2 linked regions of the Drosophila melanogaster genome follow. The gene in region 2 interacts genetically with the main gene of each other region. Each region holds a gene or a part of one and is shown on either strand. Other genes may lie near its edges. The genes, in order: Erk7 and RIOK2.

Region 1 (17,246 bases), on a different chromosome or scaffold from region 2:
ATATTATATATTTTATTAGGCCAGAACCTATCGATTGTCTGCAATACATTATTAGTAGGCTATCGATATCCTTTCATTCACCATCTCCATCGCAAAAAAAAATTCCATGAAACTTAATTGACGGATTTGGATTTGGACTGGATTTGTTGTCGGAAAGATTGCTGCGAGATGACGGACAAGCGCAAATATAAGAAGACCGTAAGTTTCACCCGCTGCACGGCAATCATATTTTTAACTACAAAGGAGGTTTCCAAACAGAAAGAGGAAATCAGGCGGGAGATCGCACGGGAATTTGATTTGCCTGAGCGCAAGTCCAAGATAGCCACCATTCTAAAGCAGGAAGACCAAGCGTACTGCATATGCCGCTCCTCCGACTGCTCCAGGTTCATGATGTGAGTTGAATGGCCTTAAAGGGCTAGATCCCGGCTAACTACTTGTACCCTTCGCTTTCCAGAGGCTGCGATGGTTGCGAGGAGTGGTACCACGGCGACTGTATAGGGATCACCGAGAAGGAGGCTAAACACATCAAACAGTACTACTGCCGGCGCTGCAAAAAGGAGAATCCCGAACTACAAACCATATTCCGCCTGGTGGCCACCGAACGGGCAGCCGCATCGAACGCCGCCTCTACAAGTCTCAATGCCCCGGGCGTAGGTCCATCGGGAGCTGCGCCTGCTGCTGCACCGGTGGCGTCCGCAACAACCAGCCAGCAAGCGCCGCCACCGACCACTGCGGCAGCGAAGCGCAAAAACAGCAGCGCCCGAGAACCAAAGATGGGCAAACGTTGTGGTACCTGTGAGGGATGCCGGCGTCCCAATTGCAACCAGTGCGACGCGTGCCGCGTTCGCGTGGGCCACAAGCCGCGCTGCATATTCCGCACCTGCGTTGTCCAGGCGGCGACGGTCTTAAAGGAGTCGCAGGCAACTCAAGCCGGCCCAAGTAGGAAGCGGGAAAAGGCGGCACCCAAGAGTCGCAATGTCCAAGTGGGCCCGCGGGCGGCCAGTCCGGAGATATTCCTCAATCCGGAGCTACAAGGCATCCGGCAGTGCTACGGACCCAATTGCTGCTCCCATGCGAGACCGCAGAGCAAGTACTGCAGCGATAAGTGTGGCTTCAATCTGGCCACAAAACGCATCTTCCAGGTTAGTTTCATTTTTTGGCCAGACTATGACAATTAAACACCAAAGTCCTTTACACTCTCAGGTTCTGCCGCAACGACTGCAAGAGTGGAATCTAACGCCCAGCCGCGCCGCCGAGGAAACACGCAAGCATCTTGATAACATTCGTCATAAGCAGTCCCTGGTGCGTTTCGCACTTGCCGAGCTAGAGAAGCGCTCCGAAGAGCTCAACATGGTGGTGGAGCGAGCCAAACGAAGCTCCATTGATACATTGGGGTCACAAGACACCGCCGACATGGAGGACGAACAGAGCATGTACTGCATCACCTGTGGCCACGAGATTCACTCGCGCACTGCCATCAAGCATATGGAGAAGTGCTTCAACAAATACGAATCGCAGGCCAGCTTCGGGAGCATATTCAAAACGCGAATGGAGGGAAACAATATGTTTTGTGATTTCTACAATCCGGCAAGTAAGACTTACTGTAAGCGATTGAGAGTATTGTGTCCGGAGCACAGCAAGGATCCGAAGGTGAACGATACGGATGTGTGTGGTTCGCCCTTAGTGAACAACGTCTTCAATCCCACGGGCGAGTTTTGTCGTGCGCCAAAGAAGAATTGCTTCAAGCACTACGCCTGGGAGAAGATCCGGCGTGCTGAGATAGATCTGGAGCGTGTGCGTCAATGGCTCAAGATGGACGACCTGATGGAGCAGGAGCGCGTGATGCGGCAGCAGCTCACCTCGCGAGCGAACCTGCTCGGCCTGATGCTGCACTCCACCTACAACCACGAGGTGATGGACGAGCTGGTGCGCAAACAGCAGGAGCATCTGGTAGAGTTCGAGAAGCAGAGGCGACGCCTGGCTCACCAGCAACAAATACAAACACAGCAGAAACAGTACCAGGAAAAGCAGAAGCTAATGTTGCAGCAACAACAGCAACAGCAACAACAGCAGCAGCAACAACAACAGCAGCAACAACAGCAGCAGCTGCAACAACCACAGCAGCAGCAACAACAGCAGCAGCAACAACAGCAGGAGCAACAGCAACTGCAATTGAAGCCACATCATCTGCAGCAACTTCAACTTCAACTGTTGCAGCAGCAGCAAAAGAAGGCCCAAATACCACAGAAAACTCAAATTATATACCTGCAGAAAAAAACATAGATTTGTAGTCCCCTAATCATAGCAAGAACTAACAATAAACTGACGTCCAAGAAATATTTTTCTACGACAGTAATCTTTGGACTTACCCGACGCAAAGTTTCTAGTGTCGCCTTTCTCCTGGCAACCGCATAACACGCTCGCCAGCTGTTGGGTCCGCTTCCCGGCCAGTAGTAGGTTGCTACGCGCCGGGATCGGCGGTACGCCCATGTTTGTTATTGAAAACTAAGCATCAAATATGCATTTATTGATAGCAACATGCTATTAATACATTAGGCCAGCTCAACCGTGGATATCATTCACATGGATTACATTAGCACACACCTTAATATTAGTTTATTAGCTGGATTCAAGTTATTTATAATTTCTATATACGATTTGTTTTCTGTTCATTGTTAGTTTGTATTTAGAAATAATCTAGAAAATAAGTTAGCATATTAAATACATTTTCTTAAGCTGTAGGCTTTTTTTAATAATGCAGGTTAATATTACTGCATTAAACAAAGTCATGAAAAAAAGAATACTCTACGCTCAACATATTTTGAAGATCATATAGACATAGGCCACCGAGTCCGGGTTTTGATATCCGAAACAATGGTTCCGGGTAAATGAAGAGCGGGGGGCAACCATTGGAAACGGCAGGACCTTGAAAACGATGGAGGCTATGGATTAGAGTGGGCATGCTGTAGTTGGGAGCCAAAAGGAATGTCAGGACGCACAAGTGCAGTGGAAATTTCAAGCGAGTCTGAACGAATCCGGCTACCCGGGCAATCAAGTAGTCGTGGCGATTTGTGACTGTTCCCCCAGACGAACTGTCAAAAATGCCAGTCGTTGTCCGGAACTTTTCTACATCACACACGACCTGCTGATTCAAAGCCAGGAATACAGTTCATTTACAATCTCCATCGCAAAAAGAAAAATTCCCTGAAACTTAATTGACGGATTTGGAATTGGACTTTAGTTGTCAGAAAGATTGGTGCGAGATGACGGACAATGATAAGAAGACCGTGAGTTTCACACGCTGCACAGCAATCATATTTTTAGCTACAAAGGAGATTTCCAAACAGGAAGAAGAAATCAGGCGGGAGATCGCACGGGAATTTGATTTGCCTGAGCGCAAGTCCAAGATAGCCACCATTCTTAAGCAGAAAGACCGTGAGTACTGCATATGCCGCTCCTCCGACTGCTCCAGGTTCATGATGTGAGTTGAATGGCCTTAAAGGGCTAGATCCCGCCTAACCACTTGTCAACTACGCTTTCCAGAGGCTGCGATGGTTGCGAGGAGTGGTACCACGGCGACTGTATAGAGATCACCGAGAAGGACGCTGAGCACATCAAAAATTACTACTGCCGGCGCTGCAAAAAAGAGAATCCCGAACTGCAGACTATATTCCGCCTGGTGGCCACCGAACGTGCAGCCGCATCGAACGCCGCCTCTACAAGTCTCAATGCCCCGGGCGTAGGTCCATCGGGAGCTGCGCCTGCTGCTGCACCGGTGGCGCCCGCAACAACCAGCCAGCAAGCGCCGCCACCGACCACTGCGGCAGCGAAGCGCAAAAACAGCAGCGCCCAAGAACCAAAGGAGTCGCAGCCGACTCAAGCAGGTACGAAGCGGGATAAGGCGGCACCCAAGACTTCCAATGTCCAGGTGAGCCCGCGGGCGGTCAGTCCGGAGATATTCCTCAATCCGGAGCTACAGGGCATCCAGCAGTGCCACGGACCCAATTGCTGCTCCCATGCGAGGCCGCAGAGCAAGTACTGCAGCGATGAGTGTGGCTCTAATCTAGCCATCGAACGCCTATTTCAGGTTAGTTTCATTTTTTGGCCAGACTATAAGACTCCAATTAAACACCAAAGTCCTTTACACTCTCAGATTCTGCCGCAACAAATGCAAGAGTGGAATATTACGCCTAGCCGCGCCGCCGAGGAAACACGCAAGCATCTAGAGCTCAACATGGACGAGCTGGTGCTCAAACAGCAGGAGCAACTGGAGGAGTTCGAGAAGCAGAGGCAACAGATACAGACTCAGCAGAAACAGTACCAAGAGAAGCAAAAGCTAATGTTGCAGCAACAACCGCAGCAGCAGCAACAACAGCAGGAGTTACAACAACAGCAGGAGTTGCAACAACAGCAGGAGCAGGAGCAACAACAGTTGCTGCAGCAACTGCACTTGAAGCCACATCATGTTCAGCAACTGCAACTGCAAATGCAGCTGTTGCAGCAGCAGCGACAGCTGTTGCAGCAACAACAGCATAAACCGGAAAATCCATAGATTTGTAATCCCCTAATCATAGCAAGAAATAACAATAAACTGATGTCCAAGAAATATTTTTCTACGACAATCCAGTAATCTTTGGACTTACCCGACGCAAAGTTTCTAGTGGCGCCTTTCTCCTGGCAACCGCATAACACGCTCGCCAGCTGTTGTGTCCGCTTCCCGGCCAGAAGTAGGTTGCTACGCGCCGGGATCGGCGGTACGCCCATGTTTGTTATTGAAAACTAAGCATCAAATATGCATTTATTGATAGCAACCTGCACGTAAAGGGGTTGGATACATTGGGTTAGCTCTACCGTGGATATCATTCACATGGATTACATCAGCACACACCTTAGTTTTATTAGGTTATTAGCTTGATTCAAGTTATTTATAATTTCTATATACGATTTGTTTTCTGTTCATTGTTAGGTTTCATTGTTGGCTTTTTTTTTAACTAAAGGTAAAGATAAAGTAATACATTCAGATAGGTTAATATTAATGCATTAAACAAAGTCATGAAAAAAGGAATACTCTACGCTCAACATATTTTGAAGATCATATAGGAATAGGCCACCGAGTCCGGGTGTAAATATCCAAAACAATGGTTCCGGGTAAATGAAGAGCGGGGGGCAACCATTGGAAACGGCAGGACTTTGAAAACGATGGAAAACTATGGAGTAGAGTGGGCATGCTGTAGTTGGGTGCAAGACACCAAAAGGGATGTCAGGACACACAGGTCACACAAGTGAAGTCGAAATTTCAAGCGAGTCTGAACGAATCCGGCTACCCGGGCAATCAAGTAGTCGAGGCGATTTGTGACTGTTGCCCCAGACGAACTGTCGACAATGCCAGTTGTTGTCCGGAACTTTTCTACATCACACACGACCTTCTGATTCCAAGCCAGGAACGTACACTCGTTTTTTCTATTCGATTCCGAATCTTTTATTTTGTAAAATCGTAACGGAAGCGTGAACGCCGGAGTGCCGGGAGATACCAGGCCAACATCCGCCGCCATATGGACTCGTCCTCCTCCGATACGCATCTACATTCGTTGATCTAATATATGCTTGTAATTCCATTTCCAAAACTGTGCAAATTGAAACGCGCGTGGTCTGCGAGTGAAACATACAAATTGTCAAGTCGAGGCCGCTGATCCTAAGCTAAATCGGCTAGATTTAATCCACAAGGGCCGAAAAAATTCAAGAAGTACTTCATGAGTTGGCAGTGGGAAGCCCTCAACGGACGAAGTAATATAGATATTGTGTTCGGTGGAGCACAACACCGGAACGGTATCAAGTAAAGATTTTTTTTCTTGTTCAAGGTCCTGGACTGTACCTACAGGTTGGTGTATCCAAACGATATATATACATATATATATATCTATATAATTAATATGAAACATCCTACAGTTCCGGTTGCATCTTTTGATTCGCGTTGCGTTCGTTACTATATCGTTCTTTTTTTTCTATTTTTATTGTGCAAATTGCCAGTTTACTTTCAAGGCACACATACTCACATAACCATCCGTCAAGTTGCCGGGCCTCTTCGTCTCCTAGTTAGCCACCATTCTACATATCCTGCGAATCCTGCCTCCTTTTACTGGTAAGTGACGTGCTCCACTTGAAAACTTTTGTGCCAAATTCAATCGCTCCGATTTGGCTGTTGCTTTTGATGCTACACTGCTACACTGGCAGACATAAAGTAGATTTTAACCTTACACCTTTCACTGTCTATTTGATTTATTAATATATTATAAATTTACTAGATCAAATTATGTGCGCTTGCGCCCACTTATGCGCCAGGGTTGCATTTCAAACGGAGTCCATTCCCTACTTTCCAGCACAAAACTGGAATTCCTTGGAATAACGGCTTAATTCGAGATCAGATTCTTGCGAATTTCAATTTCGAACTCGATTTTTGTTGAACTGTGCTGGCCTTTGCCATATGAGTGTACTTGTGCCTATTTATTTGTTAAACAAATTCATTTGCCATGCTTTGTTGCTGATTTTCGTTCAGCGAGATTGCATGCCACGTATTTCCATTTGATTGTTTTGCGGCGTTTCTTGCAGCAACAATAGCTGAAGTAGGCGCAATAAAAGTATTACAGTAGGCATCCCAAAGAGTAGATGTTCGGGAAGATTTAGTGTTAAGGTTTTTAATAATAGTAATAACTACTTTATAGTTAATAATCTGTACCTATTGAAGAATATTACGTATATACATACATACATATTTAGTACCCCATCTTAAAGAACACTTATAAATCGCGTTATAAATGAGAGTTGAAGCATCCAAGAGCTTTACGCATTGTTCTCTGCAGCGAGTGCTCACTGTGCAGCCGAGCATTGTTACATGACGTTGCCGTGGGCACTTGAGGGTCCACTGTAGGCATTGCCAGGCCATCCAATTGGGGGTCTCGTTTTCGCTTTCGCCTTCTGCCCGCGATCGATCTAACAATAATTCGGTTTCAATCAGGTCCGCCTCGCGATTTATTTATTCGCTTGCTATTTTTTCCCGCTTTTTATTTGTGCTCCCGTTATGGCCGTTGTTCCGTTTCCGGTGCACTTGCATGCAGAGAGAGAAAAAGCCATTATCCCTTTTATTCCAATCCAATGATCGAAATATCTTTGTTAGTATAGGAGTATATACAGACATACATATGTATATACTTTGGCTAATGATGAGCTTTAATCAAAAAGTAATACAGAAATGTTTCAAATATTTTGAATATCTTAAAGACTGGATCTCTTGAATAATTAAAATGTACTATGCTGTGTGAATTTAATTCATTAACTTTATCTCATACATTTCGATTTTATTCTTTCACTGTGCACTTTTGCACTGCTTTTTGTTGGCGTTTCATTTTATTTGACATACTTGATGCCGTTTGCATATGGGAGCAAGCACGCGAGGACGAGGGCCCCTGATGCTCCAGTTGGAGCCGCAAAACCACTCGGGCGCCACTGCCACTGCCACATCCACGCGCAACAGCAACAGCGCCACAGTGAATGCCAGCTAACTGATAAATTTCGCACTCCACTCTGATCGTCCATAGCGAAGCTGCCACGTGGGGCTGGAGTTCTCGGGGCTCTGCCAGAGTCGCAACCGGGCCAACTAGAAACCAACTGCCGGATAAGTCCCAGCATCCCAATAAGCAAAAGAGGTCACAAGGTTAAGGGGCACGGATAGGGATAGGAATAGGGATAGGGATAAGGATAAGCAAAGGGCACAGGTGAAAAGGAGCAAGCTACGATGGCCAACTATCAAACTGCCCACGCTCAAGAGCGACGCATTCAAGAGCTGGACCAAACTGTGGAAAGCATTTTCGATGTGCGAAAGGTAAGTCAAAAAGTTCGTTCGGAGAACGGAAAATTATACTAAATTGAAGTCAAGTGATCATAGGTCGAAACGATTAATAACTTCTTTGTCTTTCGCAGCGCATGGGTAAGGGTGCCTATGGCATCGTCTGGAAGGCCACTGACAGGCGTACAAAGAACACGGTGGCCCTGAAGAAGGTCTTTGATGCCTTCCGCGACGAAACCGATGCCCAGCGCACCTACCGTGAAGTTATATTCCTGCGGGCCTTTCGCTGCCATCCCAACATCGTTCGGCTGGTGGATATCTTTAAGTAAGTTCTTTCGATATTTTTTTGTTTTCTAAAATGCGTGTATATAATGTGCATTCTCTTCAGGGCCTCCAACAACTTGGACTTTTATTTGGTGTTCGAGTTCATGGAGAGCGATCTGCACAATGTGATCAAGCGGGGCAATGTCCTCAAGGACGTTCACAAGCGATTCGTTATGTATCAGCTGATCAATGCGATTAAGTTTATTCACTCGGGCAACGTCATCCATAGGGACCTGAAACCCAGCAACATCCTGATCGACAGCAAATGCAGGTAATATTCCACTGACAATTCAGTAATTCAGTAACATCAGTGGACTCCATTTCCATCTATGGACATTGCCCTATTTGCAGGCTCAAAGTGGCTGATTTTGGGCTGGCCAGAACCCTCTCCTCGAGACGCATCTATGATGATTTGGAACAGGACGGCATGCTGACTGATTATGTTGCCACGCGTTGGTATCGCGCCCCCGAAATTCTGGTGGCCAGTCGCAAGTGGGTGCTTTGTTTAGCTTGCATGAACTTACTGAGACACTAGCATATCCCTTTGCCTTTTACCTTTTACCAGCTACACCAAGGGAATCGATATGTGGGGCCTGGGCTGCATCCTGGGCGAGATGATCAGGCAGAAGCCCCTATTCCAAGGCACTAGCACTGTCAATCAGGTAGCAGAGTATCTATATACCATTTCATAGTTATAGGTTTAAATTTACATACATATATATTTGCTTCAGATTGAGAAGATTGTGACTTCCCTGCCGAATGTGACAAAGCTGGACATCGCTTCGATTGGACCCAGCTTCGGCAGCGTCCTGCTGAGCAGGAATATCCAACGCGATCGCCGCTATTCGCTGGACGAAATGATGAAGAACTGCTGCGACGACGGTATTTCGCTGGTGAAGGCCCTGCTGGTGCTGAATCCGCATAACCGGCTGACAGCCAAGGAGGCCATAAGGCATCCTTATGTGAGTCGCTTCCAGTACGCGTCGGCGGAGATGGATCTTCACATGGACGTCGTGCCGCCGCTGAAAGATCATGTGCGCTACGACGTGGACCAGTATCGCAACAGTCTGTATGAACTGATTGACCGGGAGACGAGTTGCAGTAACCGCACGGTCAGCAATTCCACGCCATCCAGCAATCGGGACGAGTTGCCAAAACCCGTGCGAGTCACGAAGCAAGCCAGGTGAGCTGCTCTCGGGGATCTTTGGGGGCTTGGGCTGGGACGGTTGTTGGGGGGAAGCGGTAGAGGGCTGGTTTAGTCGTTTGTGGGGCGATGGCTAGTGGAGGAGCTATTCTAGCTGCTCGTCCCCTCTTTCAGATTGCATCGAGCCATCACCAAAGTCACCAGCACATCCAATCACCTACAGCAGGAGACATTCAAGGAGCGGAAGGAATCCGTGGAATCCATAACAGTTCAGCGCCCAGTGAAGGAGCGACTGCATCGTTCCATGCACCGAAAGGCACATCGCATGCGCCTCAAAAAGGGCCATAGTCAATAGAATACTAAGCTTAATAGTTATCATCCTCTAAAAATTCTTCATGTCCAAGGACCTCTTTCTTTGTGAACCACATTTATGTGCATCTCAGTCAGTTTTCATCATTTCAAACCACAAATTTTATTTTATCACAATAGTTTAAATTGAAAATACAATAAACTAGCAGTAAATATGTCTTAAGAAACATATAATATTAATATTATTGTTATTAGGTTAACAACATATTCCTGTCTGTGTGGTATGAGGATGTGAATATTCAATATTCTAAGTGTGTCTTTAGTTAAGTGTAATATTAGTAACATGAGAGCAGCCCCACTTAACCCAGCCCAACCACACATATTTTGGCGAATCACCAGTGTTCAACTCATCCAATTCCCTCCCGCAGGACAACAAGTGCCAAGCAACCGACCACGAGCCCGGCGGAAAGGAAGAAGGAGCCATCTTCCGTCGAGGTGACCCAGTCGCGCAAGAACATTAAGCTGCTGGGCTCTGCACATAAGGCACAGTCGAAGGAGATCAACCACATGGAGTCTGCAATTACGCAAGTCTCTATTGCTTCTGCTCCTCCTGCTGCAGCTCCTCCTGCTCCTGCTGCTACTGCTCCTGCTGTACCGCGGAAATCTGGTGATAAATCTGTCCCCAAATGCCAACACAACAATGCGGCGGTCCAACGGGAATTGGCTGCCGTGGCGGCCGCGGCAGCCGTGGCTCGCCGGAAGAAAAGCAGCTGGCAATCGCAGGCACAGTCTCAAGGTAAATTCCATACCGAAGCGAAGGCCCATGTTCAAACTGCGATTCAGACCCAGAAGGACAACATCAAAGATAGCCCTCCGAGGATGATACAAGAGTCCCAGAGCCTGACGGAAGCTAAAGCGCCTATTCCAAAGAATCGCTACTCAAACAAGATGTGCCAAGAGAAGAAATATAAAAAGAAACACCATAGCATGTCCTGCATCACAAGGGATACGTTTCCCTCAGAAACGGAGCATCGCCAGCAGAGGGAGGAAAGGGCGTACCAGCGACAGATGAAACGGGAGCTCCAGCTGAAGGAGAGCTACCGCCGCCGCATTGAGGCGGAGAGCGAACCCTTGAAGGAGACAACTGAACAGGAGTCCAAGACGATCAAGGTGATAGAACAAAAGGTGTGTGAGCATACTGAAAAGAAGGCGGATGAATCGTTGTCCAAGGATCAGCAGAAGGATTCGATCACCTTTGGCACATGCGTCCGCGAACGGATCCATCACCTGGAGCTAGAGATGGAGAAGTGCACGGAGGAGTTGGTGGACTTTGTCGAGTTGAATGCGGATGTGCTTAACTATGCGAACGTTAGCACCCACTTGAAAAAGCTGCAGCGGTCAAAGGAGAGTGATGAGAAGGATGAGGATGACAGAAGAGCCCTGCCGGAGGGCATTGGTGGTCCCGGATCCCAAAACTACGAGATCTTTCGCCAGGAGCAAGAAAAGGAGCGCCAGCGCCAGGTGCAAGAGTTCTTGGCCCGCGACGAGACCAATGAGTACGATAATCTCGACCTGGACCACGCCTACAGAGCTAAGTACTATACAGCATATAAGGAAATAGGGAAAGAACTCAACCCCGCACCGGACAGTGGGGGACGCGATTCCGGATCGGAGCATTCCCCGGGGCGGGACAACTACACCACGTATGCCGACTACTTTCTCAAATACACCACCCCACAGCAGAATTGGAATGATCTTGAGCGAGCGAATGGACTCCAGCGGGAGCACGACCGCATATACGGGTTGTTTTGGCTGAATGATCGCAGGCAGGAGGAAAAATATCGCCGCAAGTTGGCACAGAATGACCAAGAAGAACTCCCAGTTCACCACCACAAGGCGTGCCGCCATCGCCACCACAAACCCAACCACCATGCTCCCTACGATCACATGAGGCCCACGGAGGACGACATTCAGGAGGCGGACTCCTTGCCGGAGAGCAACTGATATGTCCTAGAATATTTGTCCCAATCTTGACACAATATACATACATATATTTTGAAACGCGAATGCAATGAGTGAAGATTCTTTTTGTCGTAGATCTTTTCTATCTATTTTATATTGTAACTTCTATTGGGTTTATAAAGACGGAACGTTTTTTCGTACAAAAACCCGCAGTGATCCATATTTTTGTGCCAGATTGCCTTGAGTATAAGGAACCGGCACTGATGATTGCGCAGCTCCTGACCAACCTCAGGTCGTTGACTAACGTCCCGCAGCGGCGGCAGAATCTCCTGGCGTAGATAGTGACGCATAACTCGATCGCTGCGCGCACATTTCACCAGCACGGTCAGCACTGGGGAAAGCAACTCATGCGAGCTAGCCTCGGCCTCCTGTTGGGCCAGAGATTGCCTTAGGTAGCGGAGTAGCACGTCCAGACTCCGAACATTGCGCTTTTCGAAGCACTGCGAGCAGCACTCACGGGGTTTGGCTCCCGCTCCAGCTTCTGTATCTTTTTCCTTCTCGTTGTCCAGCTCTCTTTCCTTGTGCGACTCCAACTCGGCATTGGAGCAACGCAGGGTGAGTTCTGTCAGGCAGCTGCCGGAGATGTTTGTCAGCAGATTGATGGCGTGTGTGACGACGGCGCGATCCTTTTCTGTGGCCAAGTCGCCGAAACGCAGGAGCAGCTCGCAGATGATGTTCAGCTGCTCCTCGCTAACGGAGTCTTCGCCCAGCTTGTCGTCCAGCTACTTGGTCATGTAGGTGAGGCCATTTAGATCGATTTGGAGGCGGTATCTCAGTCAGTATTCTTCATTTCGAACCACAAATTTCATTTAATCACAATAGTTTTAAAAATTCCTGTCTGTGTGGTATGAGAATGTGAATATTCAAAATTCTAAGTGTGCCTTTAGTTAAGTGTAATATTAGTTCCATGACAGCAGACCCACTAAACCCAGCCCAACCATACATATTAACATAATTCACATAACTGCCTGCCGAATCACAAATTTTCAACTCATCCAAATCCCACCACATTGCAATGAGTGCCAAACAATCGACCACGAGCCCGGCGGAATGGAAGAAGGAGCCATCTTCCGTCGAGGTGACCCAGTCGCGCAAGAACATTAAGCTGCTGGGCTCTGCACATAAGGCACAGTCGAAGGAGATCAACCACATGGAGTCTGCAGTTAAGAAAGCCTCTATTGCTTCTGCTCCTCCAGCTGCAGCTCCTCCTGCTGCTGCTGCTACTGCTCCTGCTGCACAGCGAAAATCTGTGCACATATGCCAACACAAAAATGCGGCGATCCAACGGGAATTGGCTGCCGTGGCGGCCGCGGCAGCCGCGGCTCGCCAGAAGAAAAGCAAAGTGCAATCGCAGGCACAGTCTCAACGTAAATTCCATACCGAAGCGAAGGCCCATGTTCAAACTGCGATTCAGACCCAGAAGGACAACATCAAAGATAGCCCTTCAAGGATGATACAATGGGACTCTTGTATGATTCCAAAGAATCGCTACTCAAACAAGACGTGCCAAGAGAAGAAACCCAAAGAGAGACACCATAGCATGTTCTACTTCACAAGGGATAGGTTTCCCTCAGAAGCGGAGCATCGCCAGCAGATGGAGATTTTGCAGAGGGAGGAAAGGCGGCAGATTAACCGGGAGCTCAAGCTAAAGGAGAACCAGTGCCGCCGCATTGAGGCGGAGAGCGAACCCTTGAAGATAGAAGAAAAGGTGTGTGGGCATACTGAAAAGAAGGCGGATGAATCGTTGTCGAAGGATCAGCAGAATGACTCGATAAAGCTGATCGGATCGGAGCCGGTGCATTCCCCGGGGCGGGACAACGACAGCAAGTATGCCGACTACTTTCTCAAATACACCCCCCCGAAGCAGAAGGAAAAAGATCTGGAGCGAGCGAATGAACTCCAGCGGCACGACCGCATATACGAGCTGTTTTGGTTGGATGAGCGCAGGGAGGAGGAAAAGTATCGCCGAAAATTGGAACAGAATGACCAAGAAGAAATCCCAAATGACTGCCACAAGGCGTGCCGCCATCGCCACCACAAACCCAGCTACATTGCTCGCTTCGATCACATGAGGCCCATGGAGGGCGACATTCAAGAGGCGGACTCCTCGCCGGAGAGGAGTCGATCCTTATAACTCTGATTCAATATTAATAATTAAAATTTAGTTTCAAAGCATTATGAATCGGAAAATATGTGGCTTGATTATTATAGCATGACCTTGATTGATTTATTTTATTGTTAAGCTTAGGATAGCCGTACATTTAGACTCGCACAAAAAATATTACTATGTTTTGATGTATATAAGTTGATCTACTAGTATCATCGCTATAGCAAATTGAACACAATAAAGCTCTAGATAGGATTTCTTGTATATAGATCAAAGACACGTAACTTTTAGAAAGTTTTGGAATTATTCCTTTACCCTATTATGCGGAATTTACAACATAGATTAGACATGGACATGAACAATGTGCGGATGGGATAGTTGGTTGCATGGCCGTGTCGACATCCACAACTTGATGGCTCTTCAAGTGCTCCTCACTGCCGTCTGTCATAGATAGACTTTGTAGTTCGTTTAGTTCGATTCTAGAGCTATAGTTAGTGTTACACACATGCAACATCATTTGTAATAGAAAACTGAGAATCGGAATAAGAGCTTTCATTCCTAGATCCTAAGTGTATAATTGGAATTTTATAAATATAATACATACATGCACTTAACTATTAAAATGAAAAGTCGTCCTAGTTGTCCTATAGTGTGGGCGTGTATTTAAATGAATTCAGATTTGATGTTCATCTGCTCCCTACTTCCTGAAATTGGAAGACCCCAACGATTGTTTTGCATTTAGTTATTTTTTTCAAGCCGTACGTTATGGGATGCCATGGTATCAACTTTAAAAGTGCGAACAATTCACGGGACAACAAAATAACAACGAAGTGCGTAATAACTTAATAAGTACAACGTTCTACATGGTTAATGGTTAAAGAAATTCTGTAAAAGTTGGGAGACCGAACTTATCTACGAATTGAAGCTAATTGGATAGATTATAATTATTTTAGCTAACACTAATAATAATGGCATTTAGACAAAAGCTGATCACTGAAATCAAAGCCAGATTGGATAATTTTTGGTTAACAAATTGTAGGTTATAATGAGATGTTCTCGAATATGTGGTATAAAATATATAAACTATGTAAAAAAAAAAATCTGCTTTTTGAACACATTCGAAGCTACATTCGACAGTAAACTTATGGAATAAATGCAGAGTTTAAGGTGATTTTTTGGTAGCTATTTGGAAGTTGTGCCATAGCAGATCCCGCAATACATTTGTGGCTTAGGTTTTCCGCTTCTGGTCGAGCTGCTGCTGCGGCAGCTCCTCCTGCAGCTGAAGGATGTGTTCCAGCGGCTGCGGGCGCCCGTCCTTGTCTATCATCGCCGGCTTTACGATCCCGCCCTGACGCAGCTGTTCGATGAGATTGACCAGCTGCATAGCCTCGTATTCCTTCTGCTCTTCGCTTATGTCGTCCAGATGCGACTTGCTGCGCGGCTCTACGCAGCCAAGGACTGGATTGATGCCCTGCTGCTGCTGCTTGTACTCCTCGGTGTCGCTGTCCTCGCTGTCGGAGGAGTAGTCGGTGCCCTCCACTCGCCGGCAGTCGAGTATACCCCGCTTGGCAAAGAGCCCGGCTGCGTTGCCATAGCCCGTATATTTGATCATCCTGCCGACATTTTCTTTGCACAGTACGAACAGCAGTTCGGCGGACAGATCTCGTAGGATCATCGCGGGCAGTGTAAGGAACCGACACAGATGATTGCGCAGCTCCTGACCAACCTCAGGTCGTTGACTAACGTCCCGCAGCGGCGGCAGAATCTCCTGGCGTAGATAGTGACGCATAACTCGATCGCTGCGCGCACATTTCACCAGCACGGTCAGCACTGGGGAAAGCAACTCATGCGAGCTAGCCTCGGCCTCCTGTTGGGCCAGAGATTGCCTTAGGTAGCGGAGTAGCACGTCCAGACTCCGAACATTGCGCTTTTCGAAGCACTGCGAGCAGCACTCACGGGGTTTGGCTCCCGCTCCAGCTTCTGTATCTTTTTCCTTCTCGTTGTCCTGCTCTCTTTCCTTGTGCGACTCCAACTCGGCATTGGAGCAACGCAGGGTGAGTTCTGTCAGGCAGCTGCCGGAGATGTTTGTCAGCAGATTGATGGCGTGTGTGACGACGGCGCGATCCTTTTCTGTGGCCAAGTCGCCGAAACGCAGGAGTAGCTCCCTCAGCACTCCCGTCAAATGCAAGCTCTGGATTTCGTATTCGTTGGGGCTCTTGTCCGGAGCACTGGTCACGTTGAACATCACCTTGAGCAGTTCGCAGATGATGTTCAGCTGCTCCTCGCCAACTGAGTCTTCGCCCAGCTTGTCGTCCAGCCACTTAGTCATGTAGGTGAGGCCATTCAGATCGATTTGGAGGCGAGAGCGCGCCGCTGGCTCTAATGCAGTGAGCAAGAAGAGGAGCTTCATGTCGTAGTACTCCAACGCACAGGGATGTCGCATCGAGGACGCCACCCTCTTCAGGATTGCATCCAGGCAGTGTTGCCGCAGGCACTGGCGCCTGCAGTCGGAGCTCTGGTAGACCAAGTTGCACAGACACTTAAGTGCTTCGGCAATCACCTCCGATTGGGCCTGGCTGGGCTCCAGCTGGGGCTCCTCGCGTTCCTCCTGTTTAAGCTCGTCCGGCGTGGCTGGCAGCTTTAGTGAGCCGGCCTCAATCCTAGCCAGCTTCAGCAGGGTGTTAACCTCCTGTTCGATGTAGTTCGTCTGCAGGCTGAACTCGTCACGCGTTAGAATCCTCACCGTGTTCAGGCACTGCGTATGCAGATGACTAAGCCGCTGGTCGTCCAATATGCCGAAGATGGCCAGCCACAGTTCGTGCCACAGGTTGTCTGTGCGGAAACTGTCGAAGACCAGCAGATCCGCATTCTACGGCAGAAGGAAGGGTATATAATCTGGTTGAATCTTCGGGAGAAACCGCTGGCAGTGCTCACCTTTGTGTTGAATTCGTCCAGGATGGCGGGAATGTGGTCCGCCTCCTTGGCCTCTAGTCGTTTCAGGTGCTCCGTTTCCATGTCGCCAACGGTGGCCGTTCAAAGCTGTCGTTGAGTTCGCTTTTTAGGTCGTTTAAGTTAATTTAATTAATTTTTATAATTTCCGCCAGTGTGACCGCACCTTTGCCGTTCTAATCTAATATACTACGGGGCGTTGCCAGATATCTCAACCATCGAATGCCAACTATCGGTACGCCCTTACCACTAATATTCTAAAAAAAATCGTATTCCAATCAGAAAGTTAGATAATTTAAATATATTATTTCAAATATTTAAATACAATCAAGAAACTTGAAGTTACCCATTTAAAAGAGCAATCCCCGCTTAACCGACAAAATAGTATTATTTTATATGTTCGGTTTTTCAAATGCAGCGAATAACCGTTTAATTTTCGATTTTATTACAAAAAATACATATCCAGTGTATACATTTCGCAGTGTATGTTTTGTGTAAAAATATATATATGTGTAAATATAAAATAATACGTAATATTTGGATTGTTTTTT
Region 2 (13,526 bases):
ATCTTGGCACTTGAAAACTTGTTTAACTATTTTCCTTCTGGGCTATTCTGTTTCGAAAATCCTTGTGAAATTCAAAGTTTCCGACTGATTATTATAAATACGTAGAACGTTAAATACTAGGAAATAAAAAACGAAACCATTGTAAGTCTGTAAATAGCTTAACTATCCGGCTCAACTATGCAAATGGATGGACGGCAGATGGATTTATGGGCTGTGAAGTAGATTAGTTTGACGCGAGCACGAGAGCGATCTTTAGACGCCACGTCAGCACCATTCGGCATGAATTACGGCGGGCACACTTACATCATATATAGGAACGTGCACCGATTTGCGAGATGTGGGGGTGTTATCTCACCCTGTCAAGTGTCGCGCTCCGAGATCTGCTTCTATCTAGTCAGCTTTAGATACTCACGAATCTCTGTCGTATGAATCGAAATCCACGGGCAGCAGCTACGTAATTGTCTGAGCCAGCTTGCTTTACGGCTACCATAATGTGGGATCTGTTGTCGGCGAGATTGCGTCTTCCGGCTGCCTATAAATGGGGCCTTCGACTGGACCAAGTGATCCAGAACACAAGTCGAGCATCATCATGGTGGAGCAGGGCAAGGAAGACGCTACCGAATTTCATCCGGCGCCAGAGTGGCTAGATGAAACCTACTTGGAGCGACTGCTCCGGGATTTGAAGAATGATCCGGGACTGAGGATCACCGATTTGGTGATCAAGCCCGCCACTGCCAAGGGTGACAATTATGCTAGTGTGATGACACGCGTGCGGATTTTGTTCTTGAAAAGTGGCGCCAAAAGCCCCGAGACTGAATACTATATTGTGAAGACCACCTATGAGAACGATGCCTTCGCCTCTGGAATATTTTCCCAGTACCAGGTTAGCACCACGGAAATGCGTATGTACGAGAAGATCCTGCCCCAATTGAGCTCGCTCATCGAGAAGACTCGCCAGCCGGAAAAGGTTTTCGCCAAGACATTGCATGTGGACTACGAGCACGAGGCCATCATCTTTGAGGACCTTGCGGTGACGAAATATGTCCTGGCCGATCGTCTGGTTGGTTTCGATCTGGAGCACACCCGCTTGGGACTCCGAAAGCTGGCCAAGATGCATGCGGCCGCTGCTGTTCTGAACGAACGTCAACCCGGATTGCTGACCAAGTTCGATCACGGCATCTTCAATCGCCACACCCAGGCCTTTGCACCCTTCTTTGTGAATACGGTGGGCGTGGCGGCTGACTTTGCCAGGGAGTGTCCCGAATTGGGTGAGCGGTATGCTACCAAATTGAAGAAGCTGCAGGAACGTGTAATGGAGTACTCCACAAGAGTTTACGATCCCCAACCGGGAGATTTTAATACATTGGTGCACGGTGACTACTGGGTGAACAATGTGATGTTGCGCTACGGCGAAAATAAGGAGCCACTGGACATGACTCTCATCGACTTCCAATTCTGCAGTTGGTCCTCGCCGGCGGTGGATCTGCACTACTTCTTCAACACTTCGGTGCAGGTCGATATTCGCTACGAACAGCAGGATGCCCTGTTTCAGTATTATCACACGGTGCTCGTGGAAACGCTTAAGGATCTCAACTTTGGTGGCTACATTCCCACATTGAGGCAGTTCGTCCTGCAGCTCGAAAGGGGCAGATTCTTTGGTGAGTCCCATCTGGAATGATTTTCAAAAACCCATTATAATTGTTTATATTATTGTATCTAACAGCTGTCACAGTCGCTCTGGTCTGCCAGGCCATATTGACCAATGACCAAAACGCCGATGCCGACTTTAATGCTTTGATGAAGGATGACGAACGAGGCCGTAACTTCCGGAAGGTATTGTACACCAACAAGAGGTTGCAGGACAATCTCAAACGCGAGCTGCCACGCTTCGATCGGAGTGGTCTACTAGACGTAATTGACTGAATGGAAGCCATCATATACTACGAGTATTTGATAAAAAATAAAAACAAATTTTATTTTGAAGTTAAAACCATATGAAAAGCAGTTCATTTTTATTGCAAGTTGGTAAGCAATAAGATTAGAAATAGAACACACAATGGTTCTATTGTAAATGTTTGTATTCATAAAACTATATTAAATGTGACGTTTTAAAGCAAACGATAAGCGGGCCAACGGTGCGTATGAGTTATAAGGGGGACGCAACAATTCACTTACAAGTTTTTTCCTCAGTAGTACACCTTGACTTGTTAAATACATTCGTATTCGTATTTATTTGTTGTAGGTAAATATTAGTTTCTTTTATTAGCTAAAACATCTGCGGCTTATCTTTTGGCGTATCGCGATTGTTTCTATTTCACCACGATTCAAGGGCTTGTAATTGTTATCTTCTGAGATTTTTAGTATTGCTTGCACCTTTTGTTTGTCAAGAGTTTAGCACTATCTTGCCGAAATAAACTCGAAAGCGCTATTATCAGTCATGAACACTGTATTTCATATAAAAAGGTCAGTTATTGCCGAATTACACACATAAAGTGCAATCAAGCTATTAGATAAGTATTTTCCCAGGAAATTAAAAGCAACGACGTAGTTGAGCCAATACGTAGTAGTACTTAAACTTTTATTTATTTTAACTATTTACACAAGTTCAAGATTATCATTACATGTCATCCAGCAATCCAAACTGATCCAGAAAAGGCAGTGTGACACTTAATTTCTTTTTTATATTTTCCGATTCATAAACTGAGTTCTTGAATCGCATTCCACTCTCGGAACTGGATAGGACCTGCTCAATAGAAGCATCCTCTTTGCCCTCGTACTGCATGACAGGCTCAAAAATCAAGGAACAGAATACGGCTGCGGATAAATTATTTAAAAAACTATTTTGAAAGAGAGTTAAGAACTGTACCCACCATAGAATCCTCTCGAGCGGAACTGCAGTTGGAAGTCGAACAAGCTGGGTATCCGACCAGCATATTTTAACTTCCTTAGGGCCTCCGTCAGCCTATAGTAATAAAACTGAACCAATTCTGTTTGATGTTCCAAGCGAAGATTATCCTGCAACGAGGTGGAGAAGAAGTAGTGGAGATCGATGGCCGGCGAGTTCCACACGCTGAACTGGAAGTCAATGAAGATGGCATTCGTGGGATGCTCTTTTGCATCGTACTGGAACATAAAGTTGGTGGTCCAAAGATCTCCATGGGCCAGAGTTAAAAAGTCGCCAGGACTACTAGTCGTCGATCTTTCGCCATAGTCCATCAAACGTTCCACAAGCCTGTCGATCTTGGCCTTGTACCGCTGTCCCAACTCCTCATCCGAAGCAAGGGAGCGGGACAGAGCCTCCAGAAGATTGGTCATGATCGGGGCGTATGCCCGGGTGTGTTTGTTGAAAAAGCCACGATCATAGTTCTTGTCGAAGATACCCGGCTGTCGCTCGGCGAGAACTGATGAAGCTGCATGAAAGAGGGCCAGTTTCTCCAGTACCAGGTGGGTGTGTTCTAGGTCCAGCTTCTTTCGACGGCATGCAACCTTGTAATGATCCAGTGACATGTCCTCGAAGATGATCGAGTCCCTTTCGCGGTCCACATTCATGGTGGCCGCAAAGAGCTTCCTGGAGTCTTTAAGCTCCTTCCTCACCATATCCGCCAGCTGGGGAAGGATGTGCTCGTATATATCCATTTCACGGGTGTAGACACCATAGTGGATGAGCACATCGCCGGCTGGATCCCGGTCAGCGAATGTGGTCTTAACCAGAAATGTGGTGGACTGTTTCCCTTTCGATACCTTGGTCGTGTACTCCACATTGATGCGGGTCATCACGCTGCCGTAGTTTCCTCCATTGGCCACGGCTGGCTTTGTATCCAACGTCGCCAGCTTCAGTGAGCTATCCTTGAAGTAGGTGCGCAACTTATCCTGCACATATTCCGAGGTGAGCCAAACTGGCGCTGGGTGAACTTTGTGGGTAGATTTCTCAGTCATGATCCTATCCGTAACTCAGGGCTTTCGCTTCTGCGACATTGCGAACGGAGTCCGACCACTTTTATAGCCAACTTTAGTGTATATATGATAAGTTTAGTGCAAGTATCTCGTGGCAACTGGCTTCGTCATGGACAAACAACACTTGAACAATTTCGAGTCTGGTCGAACGCTCACGTTTTTTGCAATGCACTTTTTATTAAGTATTCCTGGTAACCAAAATTTCGCAACTTATCACCATATACAGATTCATCGCAACAAATTTATAATTAATTCATTTTGTTTTACATTTCCCAAAGAAGAGAAATACAACTTAATATTTTTTATTGTTTGTTATCGAATATCGTAAAAAGTAAGTGAATTAATTTAGTGGGTTGCCTTGATAGTTTTTCCAAGAATTCCCCCGTATCGTCGTCTGTAGCTAATTTTAATGTCAATATCAACAAAAACAATTAGAAAACTTTTTAATACGGATTTTGTCCCGTTTTCATGTTTTCTAAACATTTACCTACAATTAGCACCTGTGAATTGTCATTCATAAGTGCATACACAATTAATAAAAGTTAGTAATAGCAGGGAAAGTAATCGAAATTATTTTGTATTTATTATATTTTATAAGCAAATATAAAATCTATAATTACGATAATAATATTACTATTTTCGCTTTACATCACGTCTAGTAAACCCAAATGATCAAGAAAGGGCAAAGTGAGACGCATCTTTTTCCTGGTCTCCTCCGCCTGAAATGCGTCATCCTTAAAGCGCATTCCCTTCTCCGAAAGGGATATTATCTGATCCATTGATGCCTCTTCCTTGCCCGTGTACGTCATCGTTGGTTCAAAGATCAGTGATGCGAAGGCAGCTGAATGATAACATAAATGAATATAAATTCCTTAACCAGGCACGTTAGTATACCCACCATAGAAGGATCTGTTCCTGAACTGCTGATGGAAGACGAATAGGCTCGGAACATTTCCGGAATACTGGACTTTCTTCAAGGCAGCATTCAGTTTGTAATAGTAGAACTGGACCAGCTCTGGCTGTTTCTTCAGTCGAATATCAGCCTGCAAGGCCGTTGAAAAGAAGTAGTGTAGATCGATGGCCGGCGAGTTCCAAGCACTGAACTGAAAGTCGATAAAGATGGCATTTATGGGATGTCCTTTGTCGTCGTATTGGAACATAATATTGGTGGTCCAGAGATCCCCGTGAGCCAGGGTCAAAAAGTCACCGGGAACAATGGTCGTCGATCGTTCTCCGTACTCCATTACGTTCTCCACCAGTCGATCGATCTTTGCCTGGTAACGCTGACACAGATCCGGCTCCAGCTCCAGGGATCGGGACAAAGCCATCAAAAGATTCTTCATGATGGGCTCGTAGCCGCGGGTATGCTGGTTAAAGAATCCACGATCGAAATTCTTCGCAAAGATTCCAGGCTGGCGCTCAGCCAAGGCTGCTCCGGCAGCATGGAAATTGGCCAGCTTCTCGAGTACCAGATGAGTGTGCTCCAGATCCAGTTTCTTGAGCCGATCGGCCACTCTGTAATTCTCCAGGGACATATCCTCGAAGATGATCGAGTCCCGTTTCCGATCAACATAAACAGTGCCTGCAAATAGTTTCCGGGAATCTGCCAGCTCATTTCGCACCACTTCCGCCATCTGGGGCAGGATGCGCTCATACAGATCCAATTCCCTGTTGTACACTCCGTAGCTCAGGAGAACCTGCGCCGCCGGACCTGCGTCGGCAAATCTGGTGGAATCTGGTGGATTGTTTATCCTTTGATTTATCCGTCGTATACTCCACATAGATGCGAGTTATCACGCTTGAGTAGTTCTCCCCGTTGCCAAGGGCCAGCTTGATGTCCAGGTTCACCAGGCGGAGGGAGTCATTTCTAAAGTAGGAACGCAGCTTCTGCTCCACATAGTCGCGAGTGAGCCAAGCGGGCACCACTTGTGCGCTTCTATTGATTTCCTGGTGATCAACACTGCGGATTTTTCATCGGTGGGGTTCCGCTTTTATACCTCGTCGGTTAGGTAAGTACACATTTATTATTCAAGTCTTATCTATCATTCTATCTGACATTCCTGTTATCTTTCAATTCAACCATTTGAATTAGCTATTAGAAATCGTCATTGAGCTTATTACATACATATCCATTTGATGCCAGCGAACTACTAGAAATTTCTAAACAATTAATTGCTAAAAATAACGAAACTATTTTTAAGCTAAATTTCTAGGTAGATAGCAGTGATAATTTGATTAATTGACTTATACTGATAAGGAGCATTTATTTATTGTGTGGAGCATTTTCTTACATTTCGTCTAGTAAGCCCAGTTGATCAAGGAACGGCAGAGTCAGGTGCAACTTTTTTAGGTTCTCCTCCGTCTGATACACTGCATCCCTCAGTCGCACGCCCTTCTCATCGCTGGTCATGAACTGCTCTATGGACGGCTCCTCCTTGCCATTGTAGACCATAGTGGGCTCAAAAATCAACGACGCAAACACAGCTGAGTAAAATAAAGAAATTAAAAATTGTATAACATTTTATATACTTCGCAAACTTACCATAAAAACCTTTGGTCCGAAACTGCTGTTGGAACTCAAATAAACTCGGAACCTTACCCGAATATTTCACCCTTTCTAGAGCCACCACTAGTTTATAGAAGTAGAACTGGACCAGCTCGGTCTGACGCTCCAGACGAAGGTTTTCGTGGATCGAGGTTGAGAAAAAGTATTGCAGATCGATGGCCGGAGAATTCCAAACGCTGAACTGGAAATCAATGAAGATGGCATTAACTGGATGACCTTCGTCATCGTACTGGAACATGACATTGGTTGTCCAAATATCTCCATGGGCCAGAGTCACAAAATCGCCGGGAGCGACAGATGTCGATCTTTCGCCGTAGTCCATTACATTATCAATTAACCTGTCAATCTTCGCCTGGTATCGCTCCTTTAGATCCGGACTCAAATCGAGGGTACGCGACAAGGCCTTAAGGATATTTTTCATGATGGGCTCGTAGCCTCGTACATGTTTGTTAAAGAATCCACGGTCGTAGTTCTTTTCAAAGATTCCCGGTTGCCGCTGAGCCAGAGCTGCCCCCGCTGCATGGAAATCTGCCAGTTTCTCAAGAACCAGATAAGTGTGCTCCAGATCCAGTTTCTTCACCCTGCACGCAACCTTATACCTCTCCAGCGAAAGGTCCTCGAACATAATCGAGTCCCGCTCACGATCTACACCCACAGTAGCTGCAAACAGCTTCCGAGAATCGTGGAGCTCATTCTTCACTATATCCGCCAATCGGGGCAGTATCTGCTCGTACATGTCGATCTCCCTGGTGTAAATGCCGTAGTTGATGAGCAAATGGGCCGCCGGGTCTTTGTCGGCGAAGGTCGTCTTCAGCAGAAAGGTTGCGGACTGGTTATCCTTTGAATCCTTCGTAATGTACTCCACACTGATGCGGGTCATCACGCTGGCGTAGTTCTCTCCATTCGCTGTCGCCGGCTTGATCGTCAGTTTCTTCAGATTCAAGGTGTCATTCTTAAAGTAGACTCTTAACTTTTTCTCCACGTACTCCTCTGTCAGCCACGCGGGCGCATTGTGGGTCGTTTTCTCCGGCATAATGTTGAAATTCTACTAGCTTTCGTCAGAGGTGGGCATGGCTTTTATACACTGACGAGATGCTCATGATTAGATGAGACGGCACAGAGCGTATCTCATGAGTCGTAAGCTCCTTAATTGCCGGCAATTGAAAAGATAGGCGACAGCACATCTGAAAAAATTTATTAGGATAGGGCTCTGCACTGTGTGAAAGATCATAGAATAGCGACTGTTGTTCAGCTAGGCTAACTAGCTAGACCAACTTATAAGTAAAAAAAATAAAACTTCACATATCGTCTAACAACCCCTGCTGATCCAGAAACGGCAGAGTGAGTAGCATTTTTTCTCGGATGTGGTCAGCATGATACACAGAATCTCTGAACCGGACTCCACTGGCGGCAGTGGACAATCCTTGTGCAATAGACGCTTCCTCAGTTCCGGTGTAAAGCATGCAGGGCTCGGAAATCAGTGAGCAGAAAACAGCTAAAAGAATTTCTTAAATTAAAATTTATTTTCACTATAACTTGCATATACTTACCATAGAAAGATCTAGCCCTAAACTGCAGTTGAAATTCAAATAAGCTCGGAATACGACGCGAATACTGTAGTTTCTTCAGAGATTCCACCAGCCTGTAGTAATAAAACTGGACCAATTCAGGCTGATGTTTCCAGCGAAGATGGTCCTGGATCGAAGTGGAGAAGAAGTAGTGCAAATCGATGGCCGGAGAGTTCCACACACTGAACTGAAAATCAATTAGGACGGCATTGATGGGATGACCCTGTTCGTCGTACTGAAACATCACATTTGTTGTCTAAAGATCCCCGTGGGCTAGGGTTAGGAAATCTCCTGGATTGGTCAATGTCGATCGATCGCCGTAATCCATTATTGTATCCACTAGCCGGTCTATCTTGCTCTGATAACGATCGTTTAAATACAAATTCAGCTCCAGGGAGCGAGATAGAGCCTGTAGTAGGTTCCTAAAGATTGGCTGAAAGCCTCGAAAATGTTTGTTAAAGAATCCTCGATCGTAGTTCTTCTCAAAGATTCCAGGCTTTCGCTCGGCAAGAACTGCTGCAGCTGCATGGAAATCAGCCAGTTTCTCCAGGACCAGATGTGTGTGCTCCAAATCCAGTTTTTTAAGCCGGCAAGCGACTTTGTAGTCCTCCAACGACAGGTCCTCAAAAAGGATTGAGTCCCGCTCGCGATCTACATTGACGGTAGCTGCAAACATCTTTCGGGAATCCTCGAGCTCGCCCCTCACCATTCTGGCCAGGTTGGTTGTTGTTGGTACATGTCCATTTCTCTGATGGAAACCCCGTAGCCGGCCAGTATATTGGCTGCCGGATCCTTGGCGGCAAAGGTGGTTTTCAGTAGGAAAGTAGCGCTCTGAGTGTCCTTTGAATCCTTTGTGCTGTACTCCAGATTGATGCGGGTCATCACACTGGCGTAATTATCTCCTTTTGATGTAGCCGGCTCAGTCTCTAGTTTCTTCAACTGTAGAGAGTCGTCTTCAAAATATCTGCATAACTTATACTCCACATATTCCTTTGTGAGCCATTCAGGATCGGTATGGGTATTTTTTTCTGACATTATGGATCCGAACGTTAGCGCTATAGTTTAAGCAGTGAAGACAGTTTGCGATATTTCCCAAAGTCTTATCATCTTAATTACGACTAACTACGCTAATCCCTCTGGTTAGGGGCCCCCAATAAAATCGTAAAGTACATTTTATTCAGAGTGTTAGCATTCTTCTTACTTATGTAACGTAATCGTTTGTACAAATTTACATGTCATCCAGCAATCCCCACTGATCAAGATACGGAAGTGTTTGCTGAAGCTTTAGCCTGACGGACTCCTGCTGGAACACATCGTCTTTGAATCTCATACCACCTTTGCTCTCCGAAATGATGTGGTCCAGGGAAACCTTTTCTTTTCCATCATACACCATAAAGGGTTCAAAAATTAGAGAAGCGAACACAGCTGTAAATCAGAGTAGATTTGTATCAGATCTTAAATATATATACTTCTCTTTTTTTAGTGCATCCCTCAGTTTGTAGAAGTAGAACTGGACCAGCTCTGGTTGATTGTTTAGGCGGAGCTTGTCATGGATGGAAGTGGAGAAGAAGTGAAGTGAAGATCGAGGGCTGGTGAGTTCCACACGCTAAACTGGAAATCGATGAAGGCAGCATTAATGGGATGTCCCTTTGCACAGATCTCCGTGATTGAGAATCACAAAATCGCCATATAGCCTGAAGCTCATCTCGCTCCGACTAAGTTAAATACCCTAGATAGAAAATTAATAACATAAAGTATGTTATAGTCAATTTTAATATATTTTCCGTTTCTCAATTACTTTTATATATTTTCATAACCATAACCCATTATTATAAAAGCTATCATCTTATTAAATCATTTTGGCGACTCATGAAAATGCCTTTATTATTATTTATTATTATTATTTATTTATTACCTAGAGTAGTTAAAACACAATTTGCGATGTCTTGATGAAATGTTTTAATTTTAAATATACATATCACTATTTTTATTTAATAGATTAACATGATCTAGAAGTCCCAGCCAGCATACTCCTTAACCACATCCTTGTTCTCCTTGCGATGACGATGCACAGCACTAGCCTCTCCCTTGGCCACACACTTCTTTCGCTGCTCCCGCTTCTCCTTAATGTCCATGTTGCGTCGTATCCGGTCGGTAATCACAGACGGAGCTATTGTGCTGGTTGTGGTAGAATAGGAGCGTTGACTTCTCGCATCATTTAGCATTTGCTCGACCATTTTGAGACGATACATGCGGGAGTTAGGATCCAGGCCAACTAGCTCGGGAACTTCATCCGTATCTAAATCATTGGAACTGATGGACTTGACGTCTTCTTCAACGGTATTAGTTGCCGAAGTTTCAGCTTCGAATGGAATAACGTCTGGAGTTTCAGCCGGCAGGGAAATGTCCAACTTTTTGGGCATTGTTTGATCGGGAACTTCTGGACCTACGCTGAGATTACCCAGATATTGCGTACACGATTCAATGTACCGACGCACTGCGTCATCCGACTTCTGAGTGGGCTTGGCTTCGCTATAAATGACTTCGTTCTCCACCTGGCGTCGGCACTCGTCAATCTCTACAGATGCTGCGGTAACCAAGGTGGGAGGCTCTTCCTCCTCTTCCAAATCCTCTCCCTCATCCTCCTCATCTGCCTGATCCACCATGCCGTACTCCTCAAGAAGATCCTGCTCCATCTCCTTAGTGAAGCCATAGCCTGTGCAATGTACCTCGGCATCCAAATCATCCTCACGCACCAGGTCGCTGAACTTGGGGTAGTCTTCGCTTTCGTAACCAAATTTGCGACGGAACATTTCACGCACGCAGTTAACATCGCGTTCGAAGAAACTAAAATATATTTTTCTATTAATACTTGAATACTATAATCACAAAGAAAGCTTACAATTCTGCATTTTCATGCGAGGTGGACATCATCTGAGGGAAATCAATCAGTATGGGCTTGCCGGCGTCTGTCACCATTAAATTAAACTCATTAAAATCGCCATGAATAACTCCAGAATTTCCCAGACGCACAATAAGGTTCATAAGATCATCGTAAACTTGTGGAGCGTCTAGAAGTTCGTGAACTTGGGTCCTATAAAAATGATATTCAAAAATACGAATAATGATAAAAGTGACTAGCTTACATGGGCCAGCCCTTGACGAGGTCCATTAAGACGCAGTGGCGGTTGAAATCGATGGGTTTTGGCACTGGAAACCCACGATCATAGAGTGCCGACATGTAGGCAAACTCGCGGGTAGCCGAGATGCGAGATAAGTACAACCAGGAGGCCTTGTGTCGGCGACCGTGGTAGTCTCTTTTGGCTTTTACATTCCTGAAACAAGTTCGACCCAATCGGTGTAGTTTGAGGCAAATTGGAGTGCCCTCCTCATCAGCCACCACGTAGATGTTGGACTCCTTGCCAATTCCAATCTGGTTGCCAAAGGAACTGACCGATCCCCGCAGTGTGAGAGACTTCAGAGCCAGATAGTCGTAGCCCGTGTTTGTCAAGCGGTAGCCATCATCTGTGAGCCAATAATTGTTAATGACCATAAAAACTTCAATCTGCAGCCATACATACATTTCTTTCCCCGTTCGTAGGCCAATAGCTTGTGCTTGCACAGCTCCTTGAGCAGCTTGTGGACTCCACCCGACTTCAGATTCGCAATGGCAGCAGCCAGGGGACCAGGGACCAGCTCGTGGTTCTTCATGCCCATCTCGATGGCGGTGAGGACGCGGAAGTCCTCTTTGGTGAGATATCGCAGCACTGTCACGTTTAATTTACCCATTTTCGTTCTATTTTGACAGTTTAACAACGCATTTAGCAATGTTTTCGTTTCACACGTGCAGGCACGATAGGTGGTGAGAAATCGGTATGCATCGATTGTAGCAAGAGTATCGCTTATAATTATATCATTTTCCAACTACCGAACATTGTAATGCAACTGGTGTTTTACATCCCGGTCCGGAACGGTCACACTGACCTGCACATCGTCATCAGGAAGAGACAAAATCGGGGAAATGGCTGGAGATGATCTGATTGCGAAATTCCAGGCGCTCGGCATGAGCGAGCAAAAGGCGAAGGAAACTTTGAAGAATGCCAACGTGACAAAGAATCTCCAGCTGTCGCTGGCGGCGGCGGGAAGCGCCACCCTATCCGACGGCACTGGTATGCTGATCTACCACATGGCTACCAAGCTGAAGCCGCAGACTGCGGACCATCTGCCTCTTCTGGTGCGCTACATAGTGGAGCACAAGCTGGACAACACTCAGCGCGTTGATGCCGCCCTGGAGTACCTGCTCAAGTGCGGTCAGAGCCTGAATGCCAACATAGATCTGCAGGCGCTTGAGAAGGAGTGCGGCGTTGGAGTGGTGGTCACTCCGGAGCAGATCGAGCGCACTGTGCAGGCCAAGATCAAGGCCAGCTACAAGGAGGCCTTGTTGGAGCAACGCTACCATTTTAACTCTTTTAAAATCCTGCAAGATGTCCGGGGAGAACTCAAGTGGGCGGATGCCAAGTCCGTGAAGGCGGCCATCGATGTGGAGATCTTCGATCTGTTGGGTCCCAAAACAGAAGCAGACTTGAAACCTCAGACAAAAGCAAACGATAAGCCGAAGGCTGCAAAACCGAAAGCTGAAGTAACTCCTGCCGCTCAAACGGCTGAAGCTGCATCCGATGGAGCCACCACCATTTCGGAACTCATGAAAACCAAGGTACACTTCCATGCTCCCGGAGAGAACTTCAAGGCAGATGGCTACGTGGTCACCGAGCACACGGAGCGGCTACTAAAGGAGCACCTGGCGAGAACTGGAGGCAAAGTGCACACACGATTTCCGCCAGAGCCGAATGGCATCCTGCACATCGGTCACGCAAAGGCTATTAACATTAACTTTGGATACGCGGCTGCCCACGATGGAGTCTGTTACTTGCGCTACGACGACACCAATCCCGAGAAGGAGGAGGAGAAGTTCTTTTTGGCCATCAAGGAGATGGTGGAATGGCTGGGCTACAAACCATTCAAGATCACCTACTCCTCGGACAACTTCCAGCAGCTGTACGAGTGGGCTGTTGTGCTGATTAACAAAGGATTGGCCTACGTGTGTCACCAGAAGGCGGAGGAACTGAAAGGCTTCAATCCGAAGCCCAGCCCTTGGAGGGAGCGTCCCATTGAGGAGTCACTTCGGCTGTTTGAAGACATGAAGCGTGGAAAGATCGACGAGGGAGCGGCCACACTGCGCATGAAGGTCACCCTGGAGGAGGGCAAGATGGACCCGGTGGCGTATCGCATTAAGTTTATCTCACACCACCGTACGGGCTCTGACTGGTGCATTTACCCCACGTATGATTATACTCATTGCCTTTGTGACTCTCTCGAGGATATAACCCACTCACTGTGCACCAAGGAGTTCCAGTCGAGACGATCCTCCTACTACTGGC

What was found.
Region 1: of RIOK2 (region 2) and Erk7, changing one suppresses a phenotype caused by changing the other (phenotypic suppression), as found in Drosophila melanogaster (one study listed by BioGRID).

The regions. Positions count from the first base shown.
Region 1 is NC_004354.4:9,255,812-9,273,057, reverse strand, and holds Erk7 (extracellularly regulated kinase 7), read left to right. Parts: upstream 1-5,359; 5' UTR 5,360-5,878; intron 5,879-5,946; 5' UTR 5,947-6,139; intron 6,140-7,592; 5' UTR 7,593-7,789; coding exon 7,790-7,876; intron 7,877-7,974; coding exon 7,975-8,165; intron 8,166-8,228; coding exon 8,229-8,435; intron 8,436-8,515; coding exon 8,516-8,656; intron 8,657-8,729; coding exon 8,730-8,826; intron 8,827-8,895; coding exon 8,896-9,347; intron 9,348-9,482; coding exon of another isoform or gene 9,483-9,663; exon of another isoform or gene 9,664-9,775; intron 9,776-10,045; coding exon 10,046-11,621; 3' UTR 11,622-11,682; downstream 11,683-17,246. Other genes in the region: Cfp1 (CXXC finger protein 1), read left to right, coding at 169-392, 455-1,142, 1,204-2,283; CG17440 (uncharacterized protein), read left to right, coding at 3,264-3,287, 3,348-3,481, 3,544-4,087, 4,154-4,552; ric8a, read right to left, coding at 14,975-16,615, 16,681-16,761. UniProt on the Drosophila melanogaster protein: Atypical MAPK protein that regulates protein secretion in a kinase activity-dependent manner. In response to starvation regulates protein secretion by mediating transitional endoplasmic reticulum site disassembly.
Region 2 is NT_033777.3:25,264,258-25,277,783, reverse strand, and holds RIOK2 (RIO kinase 2), read right to left. Parts: upstream 11,941-13,526; 5' UTR 11,878-11,940; coding exon 11,670-11,877; intron 11,614-11,669; coding exon 11,235-11,613; intron 11,183-11,234; coding exon 10,991-11,182; intron 10,972-10,990; exon of another isoform or gene 10,936-10,971; coding exon 10,098-10,935; 3' UTR 10,027-10,097; downstream 1-10,026. Other genes in the region: CG10513 (uncharacterized protein), read left to right, coding at 590-1,658, 1,724-1,923; CG11878 (uncharacterized protein), read right to left, coding at 2,618-2,814, 2,871-3,936; CG11889 (uncharacterized protein), read right to left, coding at 6,242-6,438, 6,497-7,553; GlnRS (Glutaminyl-tRNA synthetase), read left to right, coding at 12,110-13,526.